7 linked regions of the Macaca fascicularis genome follow. The protein of the gene in region 2 interacts with the protein of the main gene of each other region in a pairwise test. Links are inferred from orthologs where the notes say so. Each region holds a gene or a part of one and is shown on either strand. Other genes may lie near its edges. The genes, in order: CEP95, MTUS2, C8H8orf34, ZMAT2, RHPN1, protein BEX2 and ZC2HC1C.

Region 1 (3,789 bases), on a different chromosome or scaffold from region 2:
CAGTGAGCTGAGATCATGCCACTGCACTCCAGCCAGGGTGACAGAGTGAGACTTCATCTCAAAGAAAGAAAGAAAGAAAACCCTTTTTATTTAGTCATCCTGTCCCTATCTTTTTAAAATTAACAGGACTGGGTTCGGTGGCTCACACCCGTAATCCCAGCACTTTGGGAGGCTCACGTGAGCACCAGAGTTGGAGACCATCCTGGGAAACATAGTGAGACCTTGTCTCTACTAAAAATAGAAAATTAGCCTGGAGTGGTGGTGCATGCCTGTGATCTTAGCTACTTGGTAGGCTGAGGCAGGAATTCCTTGAGCCCAGGAACTGCAGTGAGCTGTGACCACACCACTGCATTCTAGCCTGGGCAGCAGAGCAAGACGCTGTCTCAAAAAGAAAAAAATAAAATAAGAAAACAACAGGCAGGTATATACACAAGGTAGACATATAAACAGTGATACGTTCTCATTATTTAAACATTCAAGCAATGCATTAAAAGTACAGAGATGAAATAAGCATTATTAACATTAGGTGACCACATTCTCAACATTCTATGCATCTAAAAAGTAGAGTGGATAAAAGAGGGGTTAAAATGGAGTCATAAGATAATGTTTACTTTTCGGAGAATCATAGTGGGAGTTTTGGAGATGGTTCTGAGCTGGTAATATTCTGTTTCTTGACCTGGGTGGCAGTTAAATAGGAGTATTTATTTTGAAATAATTAAGCTAGAAATACTGTATTTTAAAAGTTTCATAAAAATAAAATTATGTTGTTTGTTTTATTTTTTTTTGAGACAGAGTGTCGCTCTGTCGCCCAGGCTGGAGTGTAGTGGTGTAATCTGCACCCACTGCAACCTCTACTTCCCAGGTTCAAGCAGTTCTCCTGCCTCAGCCTCCCGAGTAGCTGGGACTACAGGTGCACATGCCACCACACCTGGCTGATTTTTTTTTTTTTTTTTTTTTTTTTTTAGTAGAGACAGGGTTTTGCCATGTTGGCCAGGCTGGTCTCAAACTCCTGGCCTCATCCGCCTGCCTGTGCCTCCCAGAGTGCTGAGATTATAGGCATGAACCACCACACCCAGCTTACTAAAAGGTATTTAATTTTACTCTAATAGAAAAAGATAATGAAGTTGAAATTAAAGATATCAGTAAACATTAAATAAGTGGCCAGGTGCAGTGGCTCACGCCTGTAATCCCAGCACTTTGGGAGGCTGAGGTGGGTGGATCACGAGGTCAGGAGTTCAAGACCAGCCTGGCCAAGATGGTGAAACCCTATCTCTACTGAAAATACAAAAATTAGCCAAGCACAGTGGCCGGCGCCTGTAATGCCAGCTACTGTGGAGGCTGAGGCAGAAGAATCGCTTGAACCCAGGAGGTGGAGGTTGCAGCGAGCCGAGATCGCACCACTGCACTCCAGCCTGGGTGACAGAGTGAGACTCCATCTCAAAAACAAACAAACCAAAAAAAACATTAAATAAATGTTTCTTCATCACAAGAAGTATCTTCTAAAAGATGATCTCTAAGACTAAGAAATAAATTTAGCTGGACACGGTAGCTCATGCATGTAATCCCAGCACTTTGGAAGGCTGAGGCAGGTGGATCACCTGAGGTCGGGAGTTCGAGACCAGCCTGGCCAATATGTGAAACACTGTCTTTACTAAAAGTAAAAAAAAAATTAGCCGGGTGTTGTGGCACATGCCTGTAATCCCAGCTACTAGGGAGGCTGAGGCAGGAGAATCACTTGAACCTGGGAGGCAGATCGAGCCTTTGCACTCCAGCCTAGGCAACAGAACAAAACTCAAAAAAAAAAAAAAAAAAAATTTAAAATGTTAAGGGTTTATATTCATATTTTGGGAGGTATTGTCTTTGTTTTAACTGTTTCAATTTTGGACAGCCTTTATTGACGTCAATACAAAAGATAACCACTTGAATACTCTGTACTAGTGGTAATTTTTTTGTTGCCCAGGCATAGTGGTAATCCCTGAAATTTCTTATTTAGAGAACACCTGGCCTGTCTTTTTATTTGAATGGCATCCTGAGCCACACTTTTTCTCTGAGCCCAGATTTCTAGACATTGCTCCAGTTCTTTGGTGCATTGAGTGTCAATAGGGTCTTTTGACAAATGCACTTCAAAACGGAGGTTGAAGGCACGTAGCTTTGTGCCACAGTTCCTCCCTTCCTCACCCCCAGAAAGTTCATGTTTCTTATTTGTAGCTTTTTCAAATCAACTTTTTTTCTGTTTTTAATAGGATCTAGATGACAGAGTTTTCTTAACTTCCAAGTTGCCGAAAGACAGCAAAGAGGAAGTGTACCCAGCTCAGGTCCAAGGGCCTAGGACAAGGAAGCCTCCCAAAGGAAAAAGGTAACATTACTGCAGACTTAAGTGTTTACAGTCTGTTTGCAAAGAAATTTGAAAATGCAGGGGCATAATCTCCAAATTTAGCTGTGAAGACCAGAATGAAATATTTGTTAAAGTATGTATTACAGTTATTTTAAACTAAATAATAGACACCTAGCTATTTTAACTGTCAGATGGTCACTTAATTACAGAAATGAAAACAGAGCTACAGCCTCATCCTGCAATTCACCTTTTCCCCAGAGGCCAAGAAAGAGATTAACAGAACAAGAATTACATGATGTGTCAGAGAAACTCTCTCAGCGGCTCTCTGAACTAGATTGGGCAAGTCTTGTTTTTTCATCTATATTGAGATTCCCATGGCTTAAGTGAACATTTAAATAATCTCTCAGTTGAAAGTGAGGTATTAGAAATATAGTTGTGTCTTATTAATAGTTACTGTGAAAATGTTCTGTAAATCAAGCAGACGGAACAGGAAGTGATCTCTCAGCCTTTCATGATCTAACTAAATTTAGTGCAGATTTATCCAAATTTTACTGAATTTTGATGAAAACTAAATCATTTAACATAAATGATTGTGTTAAGCCATTTTTCTTTAGATATATCTATATAGTTCCCCTTTGCTGCAAAAGACAGGTCTGGTATGAAATTGGATGGATCACTGATTCTCACAAAATACAGTATTACAGTTTTAAGGTATCATTGAATGAATGTTTTAAATCCCTATGTGACTTAGTCAAAACTTTATTGAAACTTGGTGATCCATAGCACTGATCTACACCTTTTTAAAACTAAACATGTATGCCAGGTGTGGTGGCTCACACCTGCAATTCCAGCACTTTGAGAGGCTGAGGCAGGCGGATCGCTTAAGCCCAGGAGTTTGAGACCAGCCCGGGCAACATGGTGAAACCCTATCTCTACAAAAAGTAAAAAATTAGCTGGGCTTGGTGGCATATGCCTGTAATCCCAGCTACTCAAGTGGCTGAGATGGGGGATCACTTGAACCCAGCAGGCGGAGGTTGCAGTGAGCCCAGCTAGCACCACTGCACTCCAGCCTGGGTGACAGAACGGGATCCTGTCTCAAAAGTGAATAATTAAACATGCATAAGCATCTGAAAACTTGTTATTAGTGACTGTCAAAGGAAGCTTTTTTAAAGGTCTGCCTACTCCTGCGAATTTACATTCTGGTGAAGTCAGTGAAAGATGTTGAAAAAAGTTTTCTCAATAGATGTTAAAAAGTGCCCTGGGTGATCGGATTAAAGAAAAGACTGACCATAAAGAAGAACATACTGGAAATGAAGAGGTAGAGGATGGAACTGAGGAGACACTGTCTCAGCACAGTGATGGCATCGTGGAGTATGGGCCAAAGAAGACAAGGCCAGGTACTTACCCCAGAGAGACTGAGAAAGGGGGACAGCCATGTGAACTACTTAGGCAGT
Region 2 (3,789 bases):
TGTAATCCCAGCTACTCAGGAGGCTGAGGTACGAGAATCTCTTGAATCTGGGAGGCGGAGGTTGCAGTGAGCCAATATCAAGCTACTGCACTCCAGCCTGGGTGACAGCGTGAGTCTCTATCTCAAAAAAAAAAAAAAAAAAAAAGAAGTAACTGGAAAAGAGAACAAAAAAAGAGGAAAAGGAACCTACTCAGGGAGCTTGCAGACCAGGGTCGTCCACCATAAGAAAGCAAGCAGTCAAGCCAGTGCTTCCCATGTTAGTGTCACTGTGTACACTTACTAGCATTCACAATATCGCCTCCCATTATTTGGCGGATGAGGCCATTTCTCTTGCCAGAACAGTCCACGGGAGGCTGGGCACGGTGGCTCACGCCTGTAATCCCAACACTCTGGGAGGCTGAGGCGGGTGGATCACTTGAGGTCAGGAGTTCAAGATCAGCCTGGGCAACATGGCGAAACCCTGTCTCTACTAAAAATACAAACATTAGCTGGGTGTGCTGGTGCGCACCTGTAGTCCCAGCTACTTGGGAGGCTGAGATGGGAGGATCCCTTGGATCCCTTGAGCCTGGGAGGTGGAGGTTCCAGTGAGCCGAGATCGTACCATTGCACTCCAGCCTGGGCAACAGAGTGAGACCCTGTCTCTCTCTCTCTCTCTTTCTCTCTCCTTCTCTCTTTTTTTGTGTGTGTGTGTATCTGTATATCTGTATACTTTTTTAGAAGAGTTAATGGGAGAGCCTAGTTTCTGTGTTTTGATATTATAGAAATGGTGCTGGGCAAAGAGCTTTGGACTGGTCTGCATGAGTGAGACATGAAGGGTGAAGCTCTCCTTGGGCATCAGCGGTCCTTTGCCAGCCTGTGGTCCTGAGAGTCATGGCGGGAGCTGAGTGGGGCAGGGTCAGTGCAGGTGCATCTGCGCTGGGAGCTGGGGAAGGGGTGCAGTGTCTCCATAGACACCCTTATATTCCTTCAACCTGCAGGTGGAGAGTGGCCAGCGGCCTGCCTAACTGGCAGGCATGGGAAGGCTAAGGGCTGGGAGCGCCAGTCTGGCCACGGGGCGGGTCTGAGCAGGGAGGAGGAGACTGTGTGGAGTTGGCTTACGTGGCAGCTCCTATCAAGGACATGCAACCCAGTCCTGAGGCCGGGAAGGCTGTGTGGGAGCCAGAGTGAAGCGGGAGTGAGAGGGAGCTGGCTGGAGGAAGGCACTGGCAGCAGGAGAGCTGGCACAAGAGGAAAGGGAGGCAGCGAGGCTGGGAGGACGCTGTGTTAGGGAGCGTGCACTGCAGCTTGAGGGCAGTGGGGTAGGAGAGAGGAGAAGGACAGGTTCCGGTTTGCACGTTAGAAAGAGTGCCTCACTACATGTAGTGTGAGGGCAAAGGAGTGATCATTCAGAAAAAAACAGGAATCGTCTCAGAAAGTAGCCAGCAGAGTGGCCGGAGCTCAGGGGAGTCTGTGGGTTCTAGGGACATTCAGGATGGCAGGACTTGATTATGGACTTCGTGATGAGAAGGTTTGGTGATGTGGGAGGGGTCCCAAGGGAGAGAAGGAAGTCAAGGAGGGCTTGAAGGGTTCTGGATTGAGCTTCCTAAATGAGAATACATCTTTGAAATACGTTCATCGTGGTCCTTCCCAAAGCCAGGGGCTGGGTGCCTCCTGGACAAGAGGCGCCTCTGAGGATTCTCTCTGAGGATTGTCTGCCTCTGTGGGATCAGAGGTTGTGAAACGCCCCCGGCTCACTGTGCTTTTGTGGTCTCTTCCTGACAGAGCACCAAGGAGGAGTGAGCCGAGGGCAGACGCGGGGGGACACCCTCCTCCATCGTGTGGCTGTGGGGGTTCCCCTTTGGCACCTCTTTCTCCAGCCCCCAGGGAAACGCTCTGAGGGTGCTCAGGGCACAGTGGTGGCCCACTGATCACAGCTGCCCAGGCTGTGGTGGCTGCTGTCTGTAGTGGCCCCAGCTGGACTCCTTGTATCATTACTTGCAGGACCAGGTGGACACGCTGACCTTCCAGAGCCAGTCTCTGCGGGACAGAGCCCGCCGCTTCGAAGAGGCCTTGAGGAGGAACACAGAGGAGCAGCTGGAGGTAGTTTTCCAGGCTTCCAGCCCCGCAGGGACCCCGCCCCAGCGAGGCCAGCGGGGCTCCCTCAGCAGTCCAGTCCCGAGACAAGGCCTCTCTGTGAATCCACTGCTGAAGTGACAGCTGGTCACGGCCTCCCCTGGATTTTTAAACAATTGCTGTCAGCACCTCTCCCCTGAGACAGACAGCAGCTGTGGGTTTCTCCAGCGACGTGTTATTTTTGCCAAATTCCGCAGCATTCCCCAGCTGGAGTCCCAGGGCTCCTGTGATAAGCATGGTCTGGAAACCCCCACCCTGGCCCGGCCACCCCTTCCAGCCCATTCTCCCGGCCCGGCCACCCCTTCCAGCCCGTTCCCCCGGCCCGGCCACCCCTTCCAGCCCGTTCTCCCGCAACTTTTTAGGCTGACGTGGGGCAGCCTTGGCTGCAGCATGCGTTAACAGGTTGAGGGGAATTTTTTCCAGAAAAGCTGGCAAAGTTCCTTCCCTCTAATGTAGGGTTGCCAAATAAAATACAGGACACCCAGTTAAATTTGAATTACAGATAAATTTTTGAGTGTAAGTCTGTCCCATGCAATACTTATACTGAATTTTTTAAAATGTCATTTATCTGAATTTGGATTTAACAGGACCTACTGTATTTTAATTTGTTACATCCAGCAGCACTACCCCAACGTGACTTTTGTCTAAAATGGCTTTTCTGCTTCTTAAACCACTTGACTCATTTCCTATGCATGGGCTCTTTACGGGCATAGGTGAGACCTGTAAGAGTCCCAGCTACCTCGTGAATCAAGTCTTCCGGGTGAATGTTAAAAGCCAGTGTTGGGTTTACTCTTTCTACCCCATGAGCTCCCTGCTGGGCATAGGCTGGCAGCACCCAGCAGTTCTGGAGTCAGACTTTCCAGTGGACGATGGCCGTGTCTCACCTGCTCCCCCACAGAACTGGATTTTAGGAGGCTTCTCAGTGGGAAACTTTATCAGGGAAGGCTGTAGCATCCTCTCTCTTTGGTGTCGCAGTTGCCATCAGGGCACTTGTCCCAGGAGGATGGATTTAGCTGGATTCGTGGTATTGGTTAATACTGGGTTTTGTCGGGAGCCCTGGTCAACAGCTCATGGCTCTCTGCCCCTGTAGATTGCATTGGCTCCTTATCAGCACTTGGAAGAAGACATGAAGAGTCTGAAGCAGGTATTAGAGATGAAGAATCAGCAAATACATGAGCAGGAAAAGAAGATTCTCGAGCTGGAAAAGCTGGTGAGTTGGTCCATTTGCTCGCGAGAGTAACTAACCTCCATGACATTCCTGCTGTCATCACTGAGGTCATCGTTGACACTGAGGTGTTCAGCCAGGTGTGTCTGTTACCTGCCCATTGCTTACACCTATGCAGAAAATCCCACCGCGGGCCTTTCCCAGGAAGCCAGGAGCTCTCATAAGGAATCTTGGAGGTGGCCTTATCTTGTCCAACTCTGGAGCCTTTCTGATGGGTGGCCTCTTTCTGCTTTGCGCTGGTTTTCCCACAGTCCTGCTGTCTCCTTGCCCTCTCTTGGGGACGTGTGGTGACCCAGCACAATGCAGCATCCCCAGTGCCCAGGCACTGCACGGAGCACTTTCCCCGAGCCTGCTCCTAACTACTACAGCTGCCTGTGGAGGAGCTGCCGCCCCCAGCCGCTTTACAGATGCGGAGATGGAGCTAGGAGTCCTGGCCCAGTGCTTCGGGTCCT
Region 3 (4,385 bases), on a different chromosome or scaffold from region 2:
TGGAGATTTTAGCTCAGTTTCTCAAAACGTGGCCCAGAAATTAAAATTGTAGCAAACATTTTTGCTGCTTCTTAATACGTTCAGATTGCTGGGCGCCTCCTCTGACCCAAATCAATTCTTGTGAAAACTATTGAGTAAGGTCCTAGAAGAGAACTGTCCCTAGGTAAACAATGTCCATTTCACAGGTGGCATTTCTTCACTGGTTTTCTAACATGAAACAAGATAGGCTACATGCTAGTAAAATCCTCCAATTTTGTGAAATACATATAATTGTACTCTCAAAATCAAGCTCTATCGTAATCAAAATTGTTGCATAAGGAACTGTGTTACATCCGGCTTTTAGTAAAAGAGAATTTATTATCCATTTTTCTCCCTTCAATTATTTAAAGTGAACATCAAACCTTAAAAACGCACTCCTCACCACTGCAATCTAAGCTAATGCCAGTGTATGTTATACATATTCAATAAAATATGAAGCATGGTGGTGCTTGTTTTCTGGTGATTGGACCTAAAGCTTTTATGAGACATGTTGCTGTCACTTAAAATTCTTCAGCGCAGAACTTGCTGGTGAGTATTAAAGGGTGGGGGTTAGGGGGTACTTGATAAATATCCATTTGAGTTTATTTTCTAATTCTGTAGAAAGTTTACATATATTCCTAATTTTGTTGTTATCACTTGGAAAGAATCTTGAGGATTTTAAAATAACAAATGAAAACAGTATTTATTAAAAACAATTCGATTATTCTGTCAGGCTAATTATACTTTATACTCTACGAGTGTAGAGAGCAAACACACATTCTAAATGTATTTATTTTATGATTCTTTTGATGCAATTAATACACCGCGTTGCAGAAGGTTTATGCTTCTGCCTTTTAAAAATTATATAGGATTATGTATAATCAATAATCATTAAACTAAAGGCAAAGAAATCTGGTAGCTCCATCAATTTTATTTCGCTCTTGCATGGATTGCCTTTGTTCACATTTTTGGCAGAAAAAAGAATCAAAGCAATTGTAAGACTCTGCACCCCACAATGTGAGCTTCACTTGAAACAATGGTCCTATCGTCCAAGACAGATCATCGGTAAAGTTCGGCAGAAAAACTTGGGAGATCTTGCAAATCTTGTTATGTGAAGCCAGTCCTCCCAAAAGACCTATTCGACCACACCTTTGTCCTCCTCGTCCTTTTTTTGCAGGGTCATTAACTCGCATTATTTTTTTGTTCTCCGCAGTTCTCACTTGCTTTTCTTCAGTCTTTGCTAGGTTCTCCGCGATCTCCAATGCAGCCTCTTCCACTAGCCGCGATTCTGCCTCTCTCAGACGCTGACACGTAACCTCCCCCGATCCCCACCCCAAGCCCTCACCCAAGACCAAGAACAGCTACAACTGCTTCTGGGAGACGTGGGGGGCGGGGGCAAGGCGGGAGCACCTCGCCCCTCCCGCTAACTCTCGCCGCTGGTCAGTACCCCCTGAACTGGATGGGACCATGGGATTCTCTCCCCAAGGGCCTCCACTTCTGACCACGGACCGCACGCCCCACCCCTGCCCAGCACCCTGGCAACCCGCGGGACGCTTTACTGGTGCCAAGCTTCAATCTCTTGTTCTCATTTTCTCATGTCCTCCCGCTCTTTCTTCTACTGTATTTTTGTCAATTCTTTAATGGCGAGGAAAAAAAAAAAAAAAAAACACCAGCTCAGAGCTATAGTCTCCTTCCATAAATACGTGTGTGCTTTTCAGAACCTTTCTCTGTCCCTTTCTCCTGCTAACACATGTGGGGTCTGCAGTGCAAAGGCCTCTCCTTTCGTCCAGTGACCAATGGCAGTCTCTCAGTTTGCCAGTTTCATTCATCACGCCCGCACCTACTGAAGCCTACTCCTCACCAGTTCAGCTTTCTTCCAGTTAATCGTATTAACTGCTAAGCACCTCCTCCGCCTTTTCGGGTTTTATTACCGCCCTCATTAAAAAAAAAAAAAAAAAAGAAAAAAAAGAAAGAAAGAAAGAAAGAAAAGAAAAAGAAAAAAGAAAAAAGAAAATCCAACACGAACACGCAAGACAGCGTGAATTCAAGAAAGAAAGTGTGTATGTGCAACACCGTCTGAGTGTGTGCATCCGTATGCATCGCCTGCCTCAGCCTGCCCGGGTACTGAACATGTGGCTGAGAGGTGCACGACAGTCAGAGGGCTCAAACTTCCGCTGCCAGGCTGAGGCTGGGCCCTCCCAAGCTCACCTGTCTGTGTTCAGGTAACTGGCTAAGTGCCCGCCCGGCCGCGTTCCAGGACACCTGGCCGGGACAGAGCGAATGCCAGTGAACCCCAGGGCGCCCCCTCCCGCGCGTTCGTTCTCTAGCCCTCCTTCCCTGGGAGGGGTGGGGTGGGGGGTGTTCTGTTTTCATTACTGCACCCCTTCCCCTAAAGACAACGGGACTACCCTCCTCCACAGCGCCTTACCTCAAACAGGGGACCGATCTTGTTCTTCTCCAGGTAAGCCTGGATCCGGGTTTGCGGATGAGACGCCATGGGGAGCAGATGGGACCGCGGAGAGAGTGCGGAGAGAACGCGCGGCTGTGCGCCTCCGCTGGGGACAACCCTCCTTTTACCCGGACTGGGGCCGGGACAGGAGCTCCGGAGCCTCGGCTGCCCTGCGTGGCTGGCTTGGCCCCGGCCGCGGCCGTGAGTGGCAGCCCGGGGAGCCACGCGCGCGTGGGGCGCTGAGAGCCGGAAGCCTGGGCGCAGCGCCGCCAACTCAGACAACTCCGAGGCTAGGGGAGAACTCATTCATCGCGTTCTCCGCCTCGCGTCCACCCTCGCCGCTAGCCGCAGCGCCCGGCGCAGTGGGGAAATTCGAGGCAGAGGTTCCTTTCTCCTCTGGGCGGCAGCAGCAGGAATCAGGGGGCGGGAGGCGAGCCGTGCCGAGGGGCGCACGCGGGCGGACAGGGGACGCGGGGCTCGAACTCGCCGCCAGCGTCTGTGCGTGCGTGTGTGTGTGTCCGTGCGCGCGCGACTGTGTGTGCCTGCTCTCCCAGGTGACGGGAACAAACAGCCCGGGCTTCTTCCCGAGGCTGCTCGCTCTACCAGCCGCTCCCTAGCGACAGCGCCGCTTAAAAAGCCAATGGTGAAGGTGCTTCTTTCAAAGTGCACATAAATCTGGTGCTTGTTGGCTACTCCTTGGCAGCTACAAATGCAGTTCTAAAGGCGATCGTCCCCACCGCCCCTTCTGAGCCTCTCCTCAGCGCCTTCTGCCCTGCCTACACTAGCGCAGGGGTTGAGAAGGCCAGAGTTGTGAGAAAGTGCGTGGGTTCAAGGGTTTGCCGCGAAAAAAGAAGTTGCCTTCGTTTTCAAAATCTGGCTTGGCCTGGAGCAAGTCGACGGGTGAATGCAGCCTGAGAACCCAGCTGAAAACTCCCAAAGTGCGGGCGCTCAAAGGCTGGAACCAGCCCTTCAGCATTTGACAGGGAGAAGAGAAATGAGCGAGCCAGCCCTCCCCTCCGAAGTTGGCCTTCCTAATCCACTCCTTGAGTCATGTCTGTATACCTAAAACTGCATCTTAGACGCCACACTATCCCACTTAACAATGTTTCCTCTAGATACTGCATGAGCTGCTCGAATTTAGCCAATACCTTTCTTATTATGCAGGGATTTCAGAGTCGAAGATTTGCAGATAGCCCAGGCTTCCTCACAGCTCTCTTTCTTGTGAAACACAACACTGAGGTCCCAATGACGATTTCCCTGGCTCCTAATCATGATATGCTGCCAAAATTAGATTTATTTTTAATAAATATGATGTTCAGAATGATGGAAATAGTTTTCCTAAAAGCTGACTGCAGCAGTATATATTTTCTTTCTTTCTTTCTTCACTGTGTTCTGAATTTCTGTTACTCATAGTTTCTTTATTGGTGTTCATGCTTTCCTTCTGTATTTTAAATATGTGGAAACATGTAATAGTTAGATAATAGTGGAATATCCCAGGAACTATTGTTAATTTCCTATATTAAGATATAAGAAATCTGCTAGAATAGCTAGGAGCTTAACCATCCCTGATAACCTGAAATGGACATGATCCAGGGTGGAAAGATGTCCACATTAATACTTTTAAATTGGACTCATATGATCTGCCTAGGGAGAGTTAAATTAAACAACAGTGAGGTGCCCAGGGTTGCCTTGTGCTTTCCATTGTGGTTCGAAGGTATATTTACTTACGTATTTTTTAATATGTCCAGGATAAATTAAATAACAGAGTGAATACCAACATTTCTATTTGCTAAAAGGTATAGTGTAGAGCCATAAGGAAGGCCATCTATCACCCAGCTAAAAAGCCTACTATTTTTGATACCACATAAGGGCACCAAGATGGTACCCTTCCTGAAATCAAGAGTCTTTTTCTTCAAAG
Region 4 (4,553 bases), on a different chromosome or scaffold from region 2:
ACAGGAATGGACAACAGTGGGTTTACTAAGCAGCTCAGAGAAGTGTCACTCATTGCTATCTGTGTTGCTCTCCTGCTAGAAAACCTAACTGGAGAGAGAAGCAGTGGGGGGCAAAAGGGTGACAAGCTGTTGTGGGACCCTTCTTCCTACAGGTTACAGTCTTGGAAGAACGTGTACAATCAGGCATCCATAACAACTACAGCCTTTGCAGCTAGTCTGGAACCTCACACCCTGCTTCTTCACCATTAACAACTCCTAGGCTCTACCTAATTTCTCCCCTAGAAATCTCCTCAGTAGCACCTTCCTTCATTTCTTCCTCTGACAGATCAAATAATCCCTTTTAAAATATTAATAGTAAATCAGAATTGATAACAAGTATAATGGCAATAAAAAAATTTTTTTTTTTTTTTTTTTGAGAGAGTTTCGCTCTGTGGCTCAGGCTGGAGTGCAGTGGCGCGATCTCTGCTCACTGTAAGCTCCGCCTCCCGGGTTCACACCATTCTCCTGCCTCAGCCTCCAGAGTAGCTGGGACTACAGGCGCCCGCCACCAAGCCCAACTAATTTTTTGTATTTTTAGTAGAGACGGGGTTTCACTTGTTAGCCAGGATGGTCTCAATCTCCTGACCTCGTGATCTGCCCGCCTCGACCTCTCAAAGTGCTGGGATTACAGGCGTGGTGAGCCACCGCACCCAGCCAGCAAAAAAAAAAAAATTTAAAATATGTATTAAGTAGTAGTTGTAGTGCTACTACTAGTAGTTGCAGTGCTAGTATGATTTTTGTCTGTTTTGTTTTTTTAATTGAGACAGGGTCTCACTGTGTTGCCCAGGCTGGTCTTGAATTCCTGGGCTTAAGCAATCCTCCTGCTTTGGACTCCCAAAGTGCTGGGATTACAAGCATAAGCCACCGTGCCCAGCCAATGCTAATAATATGAAGAAGCCCACTGAGTGACCACTCCTAGAGACACTATCATGTCAACTTGAGACCTTGGGAGACACAGAAAAACAAATATAAAGATGGAATTACAGGCAAGAAGAACATAATCCTGGGGCCAAGGACCTTCCTCAATAGTTCCTAAAACCAAAATCGGTGGCTTAATAGATGCATTCTTGGCTGCAGAGAAAAATGATAAGCAACTTACCCTCCCATCTCAGATTGAGGGGTTGTCTTGGTAATGACAATTGTCTTCCCAAGCTTGGATTCCAAGTCCACCTTGTAGTCCCTATGCCGTAAAAGCTCTCGCTTGACAGGCTGCACTGGTTTTCCTGAAACATAATGGGGAAGGAAGTTCCTTCAATATTATAGCTCCTCAACCAGAAAGGAAAAAAAATGCATGAAACCCAAAATTCAGGTCTACTCTCATTTCAAAATGATTCCTGAAAGAAAGGACGCAACAGACACTTAAAGTAGCAGCTGGGGAGAATCTCAACACAGGAAAAAATCATAAGCAATCCCCAATTCTCTACAGCTTTTCTCCACTTCAAAGCCAGCCAATCCAAAAGCAGTATGTTTTATATTCATTGATTAACTGAATTGTGGGGGAGAATTTCTAAAGTGTTAGTAGAAGCAACTTTTTCAAAACAGAAGCAAGGATATTCAAGAATGCTTTCAGGCAGATACCCTAGGCATAACAGAAAGGAACCTTCTGAGAGCTGGGCAAATTTATAAAAGGTGACCAACATTTAGGAAATGCCTGTTACATGTCAAGCACTATTTATTTTACATGTTACATAAAAACTGAAAGAGTTAGTGAATGCAAGGTGGCCTGGAGGTAAAGGGAAAGAAGAATGTACACGTTTGAAACAGATGACAAAACAAGACATTTCTTTATGCAATCTCTTAACCAGGAGAGAAGCACCAAGTCCCTGACGTCCAAGGCACAGAGAAACAGCACTGCTAAGCACTAGCTGAAACAATCACAGATCCTGGAAAGTACCCCGGCTTTTCTCAGACTATATGGGAGGGTCTTGATTGGGCCAGAATGTTCTCTCCCTTAAGAAATTTCAAGGGAAAGAGGGGAGTCACTGACAGCGGTAATGCACAGTAGCAAAATACTCCACACTTCTCTGTCACTACAAAGGATTCCGTTATCTTCTCTGTACTTCAGGAAAGCATTAAACGAGCCAAGCAAAGGGTGGGCAAGGAAGCGGAGTAAAACAGAGCTGAAGAGCATCTCAAAACTACTTACTTCAGCCCACCTCCTCGCTCTCATTTTGTAAATGTAGAAACCTAGGCCGAGGGAAGCAACACTCTGCCAGAGCTTAACCGCGTGGGAAGGCAGCGCACTTCAACTCCCACCCGCTCTCCATCATCGCATCGCCTCTGTGATACCCTTAGCCCTTGATGTAGTTAGCACCCACCATCTTTCTTTTCTCTCTCTTCCGTGAGCCTCTTCTCGGCGAGTTTCTCATATTCATCTTTGTCCCACTTTCGGCGAAAGTCCAAGTTTTTTGTCTGTGGAGGGGAAAAAGCGTCAAGATCCGTCGCCGTGTCCGGACCCCTAAAGAAGCAGGGAACCGCGCCCTCGCGGTCCAGGCAGCTACAGGACCTTTTGAAAGCGAAGCCTCTTTGGACTGCATGAGAAGGCTGGGGTAGCCTCAGGACCCCCAACCCGAGAAACCTCCATGATTCCACTGACCCTTTTCCAAGGCCTATACGGGGGAGTTCTTGAACCTGGACCCTGCGATCTCGAGGAGATATCGGAAAGCCGGTCGGGTGCAGGAGTCTGTCTCTATTCAGGTCTGAAAAACCATTCCCCACCCCGCAAAACCTCCTCTTCAGACACAACACCTACCCCGCTGCCCGACGCCATCTTCACAGCGAAGTGAATGGCGAGCTGAAAAATGCCGTAAAAGGCGGCTTGGAGCCGTAAGGCAAGATGGCCCTCCAATAAGCTTGGAGTCTTGTGTTCCAAACGAGGTAAGGACTGGAGGGCTTCTAAAACAGGCTTGTTGGCCCCGCCTCTGCTCCAAGGAGACAGCGCAGGCGCAAGAGGAGTATGAAGCAACACGGAAGTAAGGGCGCCTGCAAGCGTTTTTTGCCTTGGGTTTCAAAACAAGCATTGAAGGGTCAAGATTTAGTTCAACTATTTTACAAACAAGGAAACTGAGGTTCGAAAAACTGTGGTCTCTGATCTAGTCTAACAACTTTGCGTCCACTGCCAAGAATTCGTAAACCTTTTTTAAGGCCGAAGCGCCATTAGGGGGTCTAGATGCCTCTCATTCACCTGCATGCACTAGCGATATGACCCTAAACTACACTGAAGCGTTTGCAACAGAGGTACCCTTCCCGACGCACATATAAAAAGCATGTTTTGCACTTGTGCTCTTTTCCTTGAAGCAATGCTATCACACTTTACTTCACTCATTTTTCCATCACCTGGGGAACTTTATAGTAGAACATAATTTAATCAGCATTAATTGGATTTGGAAAGGCCAGTCATCAACAACACTCTAGAGTGAAGCACTGTGGCATACCGGCTCACTATATGTTGATTTTTAGCAATAAAACTACCTCTTGGCCAGGCGCGGTGGCTCATGCTTGTAATCCCAGCACTTTGGGAGGCTGAGGTGTGGATTATGAGGTCAGGAGTTCAAGACCAGCCTGGCCAATATGGTGAAACCCTGTCTCTGCTAAAAATACAAAAATTAGCTGGCTACTTGGGAGGCTGAGGAAGGAGAATCTCTTGAACTTGGGTGGCGCAGGTTGCAGTGAGCCGAGATCACGCCACTGCACTCTAGCCTGGGTGACAGAGCAAGACTCCATCTAAAAAAAAAAAAAAAAAAAGGCCGGGCGTGGTGGCTCAAGCCTGTAATCCCAGCACTTTGGGAGGCCGAGACGGGCGGATCACAAGGTTAGGAGATCGAGACCATCCTGGCTAACACGGCGAAACCCCGTCTCTACTAAAAACACAAAAAAATTAGCCGGGCGAGGTGGCGGCGCCTGTGGTCCCAGCTACTCGGGAGGCTGAGGCAGGAGAATGGCGTGAACCCGGGAGGCGGAGCTTGCAGTGAGCTGAGATCTGGCCACTGCACTCCAGCCTGGGCGACAGAGCGAGACTCCGTCTCAAAAAAAAAACAAAAAACAAAAAACTACCTCTTGAGCAGACGGGGAAAGAGGGAGAAACTGGCTGCTCATCACTGAATACAGAAGCATCATCCCAGGGAGGTTACTCCTACCTCACACAATTCTCCAGTATACACTCAAGCATTTTCTACAGTCTATGCAAACCCAGCCCTTGATAACAATAACAAATTACCCAAACTACTACACTTAATATTTTATTTAACATGTTATCCAACCACTTCTAGAACAGCCTCCATGGCATGGCATGGAATAGTTAGAGCAGTGATTCTGGCACAGGAAATGGTCTCCAAAATCTCAAAATATCAGATCTCCACCTTGTCAAGTCATCTATTAAGTTCAATGTTCAAGATTATTAAGCATACAGCCCCACTCTTCTATTGTTAGCAATGCATGGGCTAGAGAGATGTCAAATCAACATGGGTACTGCCATGCCCTTAGGATAGCATCTGTCCTCAAACAAAGCTGAAAGC
Region 5 (4,037 bases), on a different chromosome or scaffold from region 2:
CAGGAGCGGCGCAAGCAGGCTGGGGAGGGCTGGGGGCCCGTGCAGGCCCCAGGCTCGGGGAGAGGTGACATGCTCAGGAGCTGGAGGGTGGCACCTATGGTCGGAGCAGGACAGCAAGGTGGGCAGCAGGGCTGGCAGGCTTAGGGCCACCATGAGACCTGGGCCACGACACTGGGGACTCCTGGGCAAAGGGGACACTTGCTGGGATGACCAGCACAGGGCCCGGGGTGACCAGCACAGGGTGCAGAGGTGGGGAGTCCCTTGCTCTATGCACAGACAGGACAACAGGAGGTATTTTCAGGGAAGGCCGTGTCTGGGACCCGGCCTAGGGGTCTGTGGATGCTGTGGGTGTGCCTGGCTGCTGCATGGTGGCATGGTGGAGGGGCAGCGAGCGAAGGGGTGCCCAGCAGGAGTCACTGGGCACCAGGCAGAAACTTGGCCGGAGGCAGGACTGAGACCTCAGGGTCTGTGCCCAGGGCAGCAGCAGGGTGGACAGAGCCCGGGGGCACAGACGTGATGGCTGTGAGGAGCACCTCCTGTGAGGAGCCCTCAGGGTGGGGCAGCCCCAGGAAGCTGACCTCAGACCGGCAGAGGGACTGGCACCCTTCCTGTGTGTGGGTGAAGAGGCCACAGCTCCCATCACTGGGCTCAGACAGGTCTGACCATAGTCTTTAATGGGCAGGCAGGTGCCCGAGGCAGCCTCTGGCATGAGGCGGGGCAGGCATTGCCCAGAGGTCCTCTGGGTGGGGAGGGCATGCTTGGTGCTTCCCACCAGCTGGAGCCAGGGCTGAGGTGTGCAGGGAGCCTGGCCCTCACAGCCACCCTGGGCACTTCGAGGATGAGGGCAGAGCTGGCTTCACTGGGGCACGGGGCTGGGAGCAGCCTCCAGGCTTGCCCTGCTGGGCTTTTCGGCTCCAGCTGAGGAGGGGCCGGGGGCTGGCCCACGTGGATGCCGGGGTCTTGCAGCCATGCTCCCTCTGGCTGCTTAGAAGCCCCCTGGGGCCCAGCAGGGCGGGTCGGCGGTCCCCCTGTAGCAGGGACAGAGATAGACTGTGGTCAGCCACTGCTGGCCTGTCCCCACCTGCAGCCAGTCTGGGAGGGGTGAGAACCACCTGGAAGGGGCTGGCACACGGGGGCTTGTTTGGGGGCTCCCATCAGGGTGACCACATAGTAGGGGCCCCACGGGTTTCACCCAACCCTGGTTCAACCATGCTGGGTAGATGAAACTTCTGGGATGGAGCACCTGGCCCAGAAGCCTCCAGTCTGAGGATACAGAGGCCCAGTGAGGGGTGGGCTCAGCATCCTCGGGGTCAGGGCAGGAGCCCTCAGATGGAGGCCACAGCACAGGTGGCCCCTGCCCAGGAGGCGGCCCGGGGAGGGTTACCCGCAGCCCCACCTCCCCTTCCCAATGCTGCTCAAGCATCCAGGGCACGCCCAGGGCCAGGGTGGGGACAGCAGGCTGGGGACCACCCCTCCGGGGCCCCCAGGGCTCACCAAGGTGGGCAGCCTAGAGCTGGGCAGCACTGACACCACCTGCAGGCTGGCACCCGCCTCTCCCGCAGCCTTCAGCTCCGCCACCACCTCTGCGTGTCTCCACCACCTGCACGGCTGCCCGTTCACTGACACAATGTAGTCACCCTCCTTCAGGCCGGCCGCCTGTGGGGAGACTTGGATGGTGAGGCGGGGACAGGACACCCTGCCTGGCACTGGGGACTCAGCCTCAGGGGGCCGGTGGGGCCCTTACCGCGGCCTGGCTCCCTGGAACGACAGCAGCGATGAGGACAGGCGAGTCTCCCCGCAGCGTGAGGCCGAAGCCACCGTCTCCTCGGGTCAGGTGGACGGGCCCCGCCAGCCGCCACCGGTTCTTGGCTGAGAACACAGACAGGGGCCCCTGGCGGGGGCTCAGAGGTCAGAGGCCCAACTGGGTCATACACTGAGGAGACCCCGCCTAATCAGCACGTCCATCCAACCTGTGCACCGAGGGACGCCGTGGGGTTCCACAAGGAGGGTGGGCAGGGCTGGACCGCCATCAACGGCCTGAGGCCACGTGCTGGTCAGAGCCACGCAGCCCGAGCTGCCCGTGCTGGGGGTGTCTGGGGACGGGTGTGCTCACCAGCCGATGGAAGATGTCAGGCCCCTTCCCCGGGGACAGGCGCGGCGTCCTGGCCTCTGGCTTCTGGTGGGTCTTAGCTGAGAGGGCGGAAGAGCAGAGCTAAGCTGGGAGCCTGTGGAGACCTGCCCCGGGGATTTTCCAGGGCGCAGGGCATGACCCCGAGCGCACACAGGCCCTGCCTCTGACCTCCTGGCCTGGCCGCACTGCAATGGCGGGGGGAGCTGCCCCAGGTGCCCTGAACACATAGCCTCCTCTGCCACAAGTGGCTCCCAGAATCCCTCCCTGAAGTCCCAGGTGTGCCTGTCCCGGGTCTGTGGGCTTCCCCTCAGGGTAGGCCAGTGCAGGGAGGGAGGGGCTGAGGGGCGTGGCCATCCCCCAGGCCCCTGAAGGGCCCGGCAGCTCTGTGGGCCTGAGATTGCGGCCTGGAAAGTGCTACTGCTGTTGAATTCATCGTGGCGATTGCATCTTTAAGGCAATCAGCCTCCCTTTCTCCAGGACGAAGGCCCCCACCCTGGCCGGGGATGCAGCCACCCACACAGGCCCTGGCTGCTCACGCTGGATGTCTGGGGCCTCGGCAGTCTCACAGAAGTCATCCTCACGGTCAAGCTCCGCATACTTGGCCAGTGAGCGCTGCAGCGTCTGGGCGACCACAGCCCGCAGCAGGTCCACCTCTCGCAGGACGCGGCACAGGGCGTGCAGCCGCAGCGCCTCCTCCTGCCCCAGGATGGCGCGCTTCAGGTGTGCCTTGCCTGTACGCGGGGCACTGGGACGTCACATACCATGTGGGCCTGTGGGCCCTGGGACGTGGCAGAAGGAGTGGGCAAAGCCAGGGCTGTGGGGCTCATCACAGCCACTTTTGCTGTAGGCGTATGCCACAGGGGTGAGGAGCTGGCTGTGCAGGAGGGCTCTGCCTCATACAGAGCAGGGGCCAGGGACAAGCTGCTCCCAGGGGTCTCCCTCCTGCTCAGAGGCTGCCAGCACTCCTGGGGCCCCTGTGCTGGACCGTCACCCATCAGGCACAGGGCATCCAGGGATAGGTAGGTGGCCCAACTCGTTAGCATGGGGACACCAGGTGGCAAACAGCGTGAGTGTGGTGGGGGACACCCTGCCACTGTTGGTGACCACCTGAGCCCCCAGGGCCCTCCATCCATGGGCGCCTTACCAAGCTGCCTGCGCTCCTCCAGCTCCTGTGGCAGCACAGGGCCTTGGGGCTTGCAGGAGGTGGGGGGCTGGAGGAAGACCTGCTCGTGTGTGGGGAGCTCTCCCTCGGTCGCTGCTGGGGGACAGAGAGGCCATGAGCCCTGAGCGGGGGGCTTTTGCAGCATCATGGGCAAGTGCGGTGGGCACTCACGGGAGCCGTCGCAGAGGGCCATGGCTACGTGGTAGTGGGCCAGGGAGCGGAAGTACTCGGCCTTGACATGCACCAGGGCAGTCCAGGAGACGGGCATGTAGTCGTGGACGGGTGGCTGGGCCATGGTCTGGTGCACTAGTCTGTACTCGGCTGCCACCTGCCAGTGGACATGGCAGGCACGCGAGGGCCTCCCGCTCTCCGGTGGTGACTGCCTCTCCCTACCCAGCCTCCACCCGCTCCGACCACCATCCCAGCAGCCTCCCTGGCACCCCAGTTCCTGCCGCTTCATGCCATTCCCTGGAGGCAGAGGCTTGGGCGCCCAGGTTCCTGACCAGCCCCCCAGAGAGCAGGACAACAGCCGGCTTGGGGCTGACACACAAGGAAGGAGGCGGGAGAGCTCACGCTTGCCTGGACCTGGGCTCTGGCCCCAGCTCGGCCCCACCCCCTGCACCCTGACACGGGTGCCCGAGCTCACCTGGGCAGCCTCCTGCGCCAGACGCAGCTGGGCCAGGCAGTCTTGGGGGGCCATGGAGGCAGGGGGTGAGAGACCCTCAAACACACATTCCTGGGCCT
Region 6 (3,858 bases), on a different chromosome or scaffold from region 2:
GGGACTTTCTCACTTTGAGGATTCCTGAACATCTGCAGTGGAAGGAGCCAGTGTAGGGAGCAAAACCTAGAAAACAGAGTAATACCCAGGGGAGATGATGAGAATAGAGCACAGCAGCAGAGGAATGAAAGTACCTACTCCTTAGCCCACTGGACTTGTGAATATAGGGAAGACCTCACCTTGGAGATTTCCTCTAATAACAGAAGGGAATATCTAAAGGGTTGGGTCATGCATGTCAGTAAGAACAAGAACTTGGGAGAAAGCTTACAACCTCATTACCTTTTCTGGTCCATACAATAAGCCTGGGAGGTGATTGTCTTCATCTTACTGATAAATATTATGATCTTCAAAGAGATGTGTCTCTCAAACATTTCTAAAAAGAGATCCCAGAAGCAAGTTAAAATTGAGATTCTGTCACAAGTGTTTATTAAGTGCTCACATTGCTTTTATAAGGTGGTCACATTGCTTTTTATAAGTAATACGTGTTCCATTTTAAAAAATAAGAAATTATGGATACGCAAGAATAAACTCCCTCTTAATTCTACCACAAAGATAAACACGATTTTCTATATATGTGTATATATGTGTACATATATGACTGTTTATGTTCATATTTAAGATTTAAAGTAAAAAAGAATGCAGAGAATGGTTTTTAAAACTGTTTTATTAACTTCACAATATATAATGAGCATCTTTCCATGCAGTAGGTAAAACTCCCCTGCTGACAGAAACTTACAAACTGGGTCAAAACAACATTCAGTTTGAAGCTGGTAATAGGAGACCCACAAGAAATAGGTAACATCAAAAGGTTTACGACAAAGGTACACCACAAATGTGTAAGTTTAGGAAGCTGGGGTCTCCCTATTAACTTCAGGGAAACCATCAGGATTCAGGGCATAAGGCAAAACTCATCGTGATGGTCATGGTGAGGGGGGTCAGTGCTGACTGCCCGCAGACTATGACTCAACTGTTTTTCCCTCAGCTTTTCCATCAGCTGTCTCACCTCCTCCCCAATCCTTTCCATATTCTCCTCTCTCATCCTTGCCTGTGGCTCTCCAAGCCTATGCATTATGTCCCATCTATACTGCAGGGTGGGCTGCCTAACACGGAACCGCCTACGATTTCCTCTAGGCACACAGTATTCATCAACATTCAAAGGGAGGGCCAAGGGCTCCCCTTTATTAGCAACTTGCTCCTTTTCATCTTTTTCATCATTTTCCTGGTTGACATTTTCCACGTTGAGATTGTTTAACGCTCGTTCCTCTTTGGACTCCATTACTCCTATGAGACAGAGAGAAAACGGACTCAATTCTTGGTGAACTGATCAGCACCGAGGACAGAGGCCCGACTACCCACCTTTCAAAATTCAGAGCCCTGGATTTCAAAGGCCTTTTTTAAATTTCATTTTTTTTCCCATCAGAGAGGCCCCGTGTACCCTCGGGGTGGGGGGGGGCAGTCCGCGCCCCTCTCTCCCGCAAAGCCCACCATCTTCTCTGCAGATCCATCTCCAGGCCTCTGCAGGCGCCAAAATGGAGGACGAAGAAGGGGTGGGGGTGGGGGATTGCGAAGCGTAGCAGTGAAGGCACCGACTGGGGTCCCAGACTGGGCTTTCGTCATGTTCTGACCCCCGCCCCGCCACCGTCCCTCGCACCGACCTGGGCCTATCCTTGCAGTCTCCTCCTCCTCCCGATTCTCGACGTGAGGTGCGTCGCCTCGACACTTAGCCTCGCAGACCTGCAGACGGCCGGGGTGGGAAGAGTGGAGGCTGCTGCAGCGGAACACTAGCGAGGACCCGCCGCCACCCGGCCCCTTCCCCGCGCCGGGCCCGGGCCCTCCTCGCCGCCCTCTCCCCGCGCCTCAGCCGCCCCGCCCCCCAAGCTGACCACCATTTTCTGCATCAAGAAGGGCGGAGCAGGGATCTCAGAAAAGATTGCGCTGGTGGCGGAGGCAGGTGCTTCAGAAGGGCCGTAGCCTCAGGACCGCAGCCTCAGGACCGCCGGCTCCCGCGGGGCCAGGCACTCCTCCGCTCACTAAAGGCTAGCGGTCCCGCGGCGGGGCCCCGGGGCTGCATCGTGCACCGGCTGCGTCTCAGCGCGGCTCCTCGGGGGTGGGGCATCCGCAGGCCGGGGCCGCTCCCCCACACCAACCCCAGGGACCCCCTCCGTCTCCCTTACCTGCTCCCCCTCCGCTTCCTGCTTTCGGGGCCGCACCTGGCCCGCACGTCCTCAGGGCCACCGGGAACAGGTACCACAGCCGAGAAAGGAGCGAGCGACGGCGGCTCCGACGCCAGAGCGAGGCAAGACTCAGTGTTGGCCGATCACGTGGGGCTGTTGTCATCGCCAGCGGCTCCGCCCCCGTCCCACGCTCCCTCCTGCAGCCTGGAGTCAGGTGGGACTTTCGGGCCCGCCCCCATCCTCACCGTGAGTCCCTTTTAACATCCCCAGCCTGGGCTCTGCCACTCTCCCTTCTCTTGTGTATTCTTGAGACTTCCCTTGCCTGCCCAGGAAGGACGGAAGGCATCTTCTCAGGGAGCTGTTGGCCATTCCCACTTCTCTGGGGACTTGCCTCTCTCTGCCCTTGGCTCCCAGGATTCACCTCCTTCTGCCTGTTAATTAATTTTTGACAAAGATGTCAAAGTAATTCGATATGGAAAGTATAGTCTTTTAAACAAATGGTGCTGAAATAACAGAATTCTTAAAGGAAAAACAGGAGCCTTGCCTTTTATCTATACTATACACAAATTAATTCAAAATGGTCATAAACCTAAATGTAAAAACTCAAATTAGAAAACTTCTAGAATAAAACATAGAGAAAAACTTTATAATCTTTGAGAAAACAATCCCTTAGGACAGAAAAAGAACAGATCACAAAAAAAAAAATGAGAAATTGGATTTATCAAAATTAAAAACTACCATTTAAACCACATGGTTAAGAAAATGAAGTGAGAAGCTGGGAGTAAATATTCACAATATGTGTATCTGACAGTGGGTTTGAATTCAGAGCATATATAAAGAACTTCGAAAACTCAAGAAGGCAAATAATAGATTTGAATAAACATTTCACAAAACTACATACACAAATTACCAACGAGCTCATGAAAAGATGCTCAACCTCATTAACTATCAGGGAAATGTAAAATAAAGCCAGAATGAAAAACCACTGCACACCCATTATAATTGCTGAACTTAAAATGTCTGACAGTCCCAAGCACTTTTGAAAATAGTAACAATAGAAACTCTCATTGATTGTTGGTGAGGGGTTCAACCACTCCAAGACTTGGTGGCAGTTTCTTAAAAAGTTAAACTTAGGCTTACCATATGTCCTAGAAATTCCACTTTTTGGAATTTTCCCAACAGATTTTAAAACATATTTTCTCAAAAATATTGGCATAGGAAAGTTCATAGAAATTTCCTTTATGATAGCCCCAAAGTTGATAAAAATCTAAATGTCCAACAAGTGAACTGATAAACAAATTGTGATGTATTCATACATTTTAAAGCTGCTAAGCAATAAAAAAGTGACAAGCTACTGATACAAACAGTAACATAGATGAATCTTAAAAAAATGAAAAAAAAAATTGTATCTATAAAGACACCAGCCACAATTGTTTTCTGCATGATTGCATTTATATAAGTTCTAAAACAGGCAAAACTAATCTGTACTGATATAAGTTGAATCAAATCAGTTTTTGCCTGGCTTGAAAGTTGGGGTTTTTCTGATTGCAAAGAGGCATAATGGAACTCTCTCAGCTGAGGAAAACATTCTGTATCTTAATGAGGTAGTGACTCCATTGATAAATACATTTGTTGAAATCATTGAACTATATAGTTAAAAGGTGTGTATCTTATTGTATGTAAA
Region 7 (4,396 bases), on a different chromosome or scaffold from region 2:
CTCGTGATCCACCCGCCTCAGCCTCCCAAAGTGCTGGGATTACAGGCGTGAGCCACCGCGCCGGCCAACACTGAGCTAATCTTAACAGACTACATAGTTAAAGGAATGCTCACAGATTCTAGTCTTGGGAGGTGGCAGAATACATTGCAAAGAGTGAGGCGTTCTCTCCAGGTGACAAAAGCCTGCATTTTTTTTCTTTCGATTTTTTGTGTCTTTTGAATTTTCTACAGTAAACTTTTATTACTTTTATAATCCAAAGGACACAAATTCTTAGTCTAGATTTTTTAGTCATTCTAACCAAGATTTATATGCTGACTCTGCCACTTAAAGCTGTTTGTGACCTCAAGCAAGTTACTTAGCCTGTCCAAGTCTTGATTTTTGAACTGATAAAATGAGAGATAAATGCGAGGATCACATGCAAAGCTCCCATCACAATGCTGGCATACAGTAGTAATCAAGAAATGTTAATTCTAGACGTCAATTCTTCCTACATGACACATGAATTTTCCCTAAAGAAAACTGATGATGACAAAACAGACCCCTACAATGATCCCCACACCAAGTCACATCCATAAGGCTCTTGTTACCTTGGCTGAAGCTGGCCCCTTCCAGTTCAAGTATTGCTCTAGTTCTGTGCCCTTAGCCCGGGCCCTGGAGGAGTCAAACACTTTCCTCTTGGAACCCTGCATCCTGCTGCAGATGTTGGAGTGTCTCTCCAGCCTGAACAAGAGGAATTTTCGCCCACAGTGGCTGCACTCACCCAGCTGTGGCTCTTCAGTGGAGCCGCTGGAACCTGAGGAGTCTGGTGCCATGGACAGGCTGGAATTTCTGGCAGATCCCTGCAAAGCACCGCCTGGTGTTTCTGAAGGCGGGGAGAACTTCTCCATCGACGGCTCTGAGACTCGGTCTCGAATTTTGTTATTGCTTGCTACCAGCCTTTCCCTTTTGAGTCTCTGGATTCTATAATCAGAGAGCTGGAATGGACTCGAATTTTGTTGAGACCGTTCCCAAGTTTCATCCTCTCTCCTGTCTCTACTAAATTCTTCCTCAAAATCAAATTCTGGGGAGAAGACAGCTTTGTGCGTGGTGTTGCTGTTATTACCTTTAACTCTGCTCCTGGGGAATATAATTTTCTGTAGCTCTCTGTTTTCATTTTCCTTGGCCTGTTCCTTTTGCGTCTGGATCCTTCTGAGTTCCTCCTCTGTCTTCTTCAGCTTTCCTCTCAGGAGAATCTGCTTTCTTCGGATTTCCTCCTCTAAGCTCTCCCCTGCAGCTTCTAGTCTTTGGATCTGCACCCACTCCATCCTGTCCAAGTTTGCCAAGGCCTTCTCCGCCTGCATGGCAGCAAGAACAGGATCAACCACAGAAAAGTTGACCTGGTTCCTCACATCAAAGTTCCTGGATGAAAACTCTCTCAGTTCAGGGGGCCTTGGGTAGACATTCTGGTCCCCATCAGTGCCAGACTCACCTGTACTGCACGACTTCCTGTGGACCACGGGTTTCAGTGGGTACGCCCGGTCCACTCCAACTCGTTTCTTTGTAAAGGGGATAAAGTCCTGGTTATTGGCTTTGGGATACCAGGATTGAGGGCCTGATGAGTAAAACAAACCATTTCCTTGGCCCTGGAAATCACTTCCTGCATCTTGGTGGCTGATTCCAGTACAGTGGGGATAGGAGTAGCTCCGGGCTTTTGTGTTCCATTTGGGGTGAGTGTGGACTTTATCCAGAGTCAACTCTTTGTTGCTCAAAAGCTGCTTCTGGAAATTGTTCCTCAGGTGCCCCTTCAAGGACTGCTGGGAAGAGTCACTTTGTTCGTAAGAGTCTTGCTTGGCTGAGTGGGGCCCTGGAGCTTCTGTTGTATTATGTGGAAGCATAACGCCCACAGGCAGATGTGATGCCAACCGCTGGAGACCAGCCATTCAGGGCCTGGACTGATGCCTACGGGAGATTTAAACCAGATACATGCGAAGAGTTTGTCTGAGGTTCACTCTCGTCTGCTAAAGCAAACTATTTCAACATTTGCCCTGCCCACATTTCCTTAAACTTTTCTGGGGACAGTGGTGCTGGATCTGCCAAAGCTTCCCTTCAAAAACCATTTGGTGAGTGATTACTATGCACAAGACACTGTGTTAGGCCCTGAGGGTAGAGAAACGGAGGTGCTACAGGTGTTCCTGCCACCTAGCTCTCCTCTCCTCCAGCACCAGCCTCTGCCACGCACAGTATACTCTACAGTAAGTGGAAAGAGCATCGGATTGAAAGTCAGGTTTTAGGCCTGTAACAGGACAAGCGACTTCTCCCTTGCTGGCCCCCGTTTCTTCACCTGTAAACTGAAGGGTTCCGTCCGAGTCCATCCTCACCATTTTACAGGTGAGCAAGCTGTGGCCCAGAGGTAGTGACTGGCACAAAGAGCTCTCAGGGCTTCCCTCCTGCTGGAACCGTGCTTGATTCAAAAGAGCACAGAGGCTGCTAGGGCCTGGAGCAGGTGCCTGGCTGTCAAACCCTCATCCCAGGAGTCCCCGTGGCGCAGACGGTAAAAGTTTTGTAACCTGAGCGTTGAGGGCCACCTGACCTGGCTGCAGCCGGTTTTAGATCCTTAAGGCTGAAGTCACGTTCTGTCCCGAAGGGTCAACTGGGGCGCCCCCACTACGGACTCCGCCTCTGGGGACAAGTCCTCTCTCTCTCCTGCCCTTCGGGCCCTTAGGAGGTGCTGACCCTCTGTCTCCCCGCCCTTCTGCGTACCTGAGGCCCTCGGGCACCGCTCCTGCTCAGGGGAAACCCCAGGGCCTAGTTTCCCAGACCCGACCTCCCCCTCAACCGACGGCCGCGCAGGCGCTCTCAGCTAGCTTCTGTTATTCCCGGTGCCTGGAGACCGAGTTACTGGCGGGCCAAGCTCCGCCCCTCGCTGCGAACTCCTTGGGGAGGCGTGCGCAGGCGCAGTGCACCAGCGACCCGGGGCGACCGGGGGTGGGGGGTGCGGTCAGCCCGACCGTCACTTGACCCAGTCAGTGTCCGGCCAACTCTGCAGCCGGGTACAGCCCTGCCCTTGGGGAGCCGAGGAAGGGCGGGAGAGGCTTTTCTGGGGCTCCATCAAAGAAGAACTTGTACTTTCCTGAGAACGATGCTCCCAGACCTTGGGGTGTGCCCTTCACTGGCAAAGGGCGGAGGCCCTGGCTGTGCCTCCGCGTGCTTCCGCCGCAGGGTGCAGGCGACCGCCTGCCTGGTGGGAGCGGGGCTGCTGCTGACCTTTCTCGGCGCGCTTGGCTGCGCTGGGCGGGCCCCAGGTATGGCTGCACGTGCGCGCTCCCTGCTTGTCGTCGCCAAGTCTTTGGAACTTGCTGCCAACGTTTTTGCTACGCAGTATCTTTCCGGGGTAATTTTTGTGGCCAATCTAATTATTTTGATATTATAATGTTTTACTCTCACGTGGTAACTCTAGCCGTCTGTACTTAGGGCGTAGGAATGACTCAGCCAAGTGTAATGATAATAAAGAACTACCAGATCGAAAATAATCAGTATAACCTGGTTTCAACAGTAAATGATACTCTGTAACTTGTTGACATCAAAAGAAAGTTTATTTTTTTTTCTTCGCTTCAGTTCATCTGTGTAGGACGTTGGGAACAGGCAGTTCGCTTTTTCCCTGTAACTACTCAATTCATGCACTTGGAAAATAATGTAGACAAGCAGTCATCAGTGTTAATACTTCAACATGTCATATTACAGCTGTTACCTGTTACAAAGAAATTCCTTGGTGGACCCTCCAGGTCAGTCCTTCTTTTTTTTTCTTTTCTTTTTCTTTTCTTTTCTTTTTTTTTTAATTCCTCGTTTTCATCCCTTGTTGCCTGCACCACCTCTACATATATGCAGCTCCAGATGTTTCCCACTCTACTCAGGGTCCCAATTATCAACTCCCGCAGCTTCCCTCAGCAGGATGTACCGGCTTTCTTTCTCTCTCTCTCTCCTCTTCCTTCTCTCCCTTTCTTCTCTGTCTCTGTCTGTCTCTGTCTCTGTCTGTCTCTCTCCCTCTCTCCTTCCCTCTCCTCTATGAGAAAGAAGGGCCACTTTCCATGAGTTCTCTTGAATTAGTGCTTTTCAGTACCCTCCGGGAATTGACTCCATCACTTTACCCCAGCGTTTTGTTTTTGTTTTCTGTTTTGTTGGTTTTGAGGGTTTTTTAAAATTTGTTTGTTTTTTGAGACAGAATCTCACCCTGTTGCCCAGGCTGGAGTGCAGTGGCGCAATCTCAGCTCACTGCCACCTCCGCCTCCTGGGTTCAAGTGATTCTCCTGCCTCAGCCTCCCGAGTAGCTGAGATTACAGGCGTCTGCCACCACACCTGGCTAATTTTTTGTATTTTTAGTAGAGATGGAGTTTCACCATGTTAGCCAGGCTGGTCTTGA

What was found.
Region 1: the proteins of MTUS2 (region 2) and CEP95 interact in binary tests that used the Homo sapiens proteins (3 or more experiments, as listed by UniProt). The two-hybrid records come from large-scale screens. The link is inferred for Macaca fascicularis from reciprocal best matches to the Homo sapiens genes MTUS2 and CEP95.
Region 3: the proteins of MTUS2 (region 2) and C8H8orf34 interact in a two-hybrid assay, tested with the Homo sapiens proteins (2 studies listed by BioGRID). The two-hybrid records come from large-scale screens. The link is inferred for Macaca fascicularis from reciprocal best matches to the Homo sapiens genes MTUS2 and C8orf34.
Region 4: the proteins of MTUS2 (region 2) and ZMAT2 interact in binary tests that used the Homo sapiens proteins (3 or more experiments, as listed by UniProt). The two-hybrid records come from large-scale screens. The link is inferred for Macaca fascicularis from reciprocal best matches to the Homo sapiens genes MTUS2 and ZMAT2.
Region 5: the proteins of MTUS2 (region 2) and RHPN1 interact in binary tests that used the Homo sapiens proteins (3 or more experiments, as listed by UniProt). The two-hybrid records come from large-scale screens. The link is inferred for Macaca fascicularis from reciprocal best matches to the Homo sapiens genes MTUS2 and RHPN1.
Region 6: the proteins of MTUS2 (region 2) and protein BEX2 interact in binary tests that used the Homo sapiens proteins (3 or more experiments, as listed by UniProt). The link is inferred for Macaca fascicularis from reciprocal best matches to the Homo sapiens genes MTUS2 and BEX2.
Region 7: the proteins of MTUS2 (region 2) and ZC2HC1C interact in binary tests that used the Homo sapiens proteins (3 or more experiments, as listed by UniProt). The two-hybrid records come from large-scale screens. The link is inferred for Macaca fascicularis from reciprocal best matches to the Homo sapiens genes MTUS2 and ZC2HC1C.

Annotation. Positions count from the first base shown.
Region 1 is NC_088390.1:71,116,146-71,119,934, forward strand, and holds part of CEP95 (centrosomal protein of 95 kDa), read left to right. Parts: intron 1-2,243; coding exon 2,244-2,356; intron 2,357-2,544; coding exon 2,545-2,674; intron 2,675-3,578; coding exon 3,579-3,732; intron 3,733-3,789.
Region 2 is NC_088391.1:9,331,340-9,335,128, forward strand, and holds part of MTUS2 (microtubule-associated tumor suppressor candidate 2), read left to right. Parts: intron 1-1,980; coding exon 1,981-2,079; intron 2,080-3,202; coding exon 3,203-3,322; intron 3,323-3,789. UniProt on the Homo sapiens protein: Binds microtubules. Together with MAPRE1 may target the microtubule depolymerase KIF2C to the plus-end of microtubules. May regulate the dynamics of microtubules at their growing distal tip.
Region 3 is NC_088382.1:78,285,718-78,290,102, reverse strand, and holds the start of C8H8orf34 (uncharacterized protein C8orf34 homolog), read right to left. Parts: upstream 3,042-4,385; 5' UTR 2,774-3,041; coding exon 2,447-2,773; exon of another isoform or gene 2,337-2,446; intron 1-2,336.
Region 4 is NC_088380.1:147,174,705-147,179,257, reverse strand, and holds the start of ZMAT2 (zinc finger matrin-type protein 2), read right to left. Parts: upstream 2,824-4,553; 5' UTR 2,810-2,823; coding exon 2,792-2,809; intron 2,452-2,791; coding exon 2,358-2,451; intron 1,263-2,357; coding exon 1,139-1,262; intron 1-1,138. UniProt on the Homo sapiens protein: Involved in pre-mRNA splicing as a component of the spliceosome.
Region 5 is NC_088382.1:153,042,959-153,046,995, reverse strand, and holds the end of RHPN1 (rhophilin-1), read right to left. Parts: coding exon 3,940-4,037; intron 3,622-3,939; coding exon 3,276-3,621; exon of another isoform or gene 2,863-3,275; coding exon 2,668-2,862; exon of another isoform or gene 2,624-2,667; intron 2,191-2,623; coding exon 2,114-2,190; intron 1,892-2,113; coding exon 1,745-1,891; intron 1,657-1,744; coding exon 1,495-1,656; intron 1,029-1,494; coding exon 813-1,028; 3' UTR 654-812; downstream 1-653. UniProt on the Homo sapiens protein: Has no enzymatic activity. May serve as a target for Rho, and interact with some cytoskeletal component upon Rho binding or relay a Rho signal to other molecules.
Region 6 is NC_088395.1:109,688,312-109,692,169, forward strand, and holds protein BEX2, read right to left. Parts: upstream 2,306-3,858; 5' UTR 1,899-2,305; coding exon 1,884-1,898; intron 1,735-1,883; coding exon 1,656-1,734; intron 1,282-1,655; coding exon 890-1,281; 3' UTR 647-889; downstream 1-646. UniProt on the Homo sapiens protein: Regulator of mitochondrial apoptosis and G1 cell cycle in breast cancer.
Region 7 is NC_088381.1:143,017,875-143,022,270, reverse strand, and holds the start of ZC2HC1C (zinc finger C2HC domain-containing protein 1C), read right to left. Parts: upstream 2,849-4,396; 5' UTR 1,920-2,848; coding exon 588-1,919; intron 1-587. Other genes in the region: ACYP1 (acylphosphatase-1), read left to right, coding at 3,119-3,370, 3,595-3,761.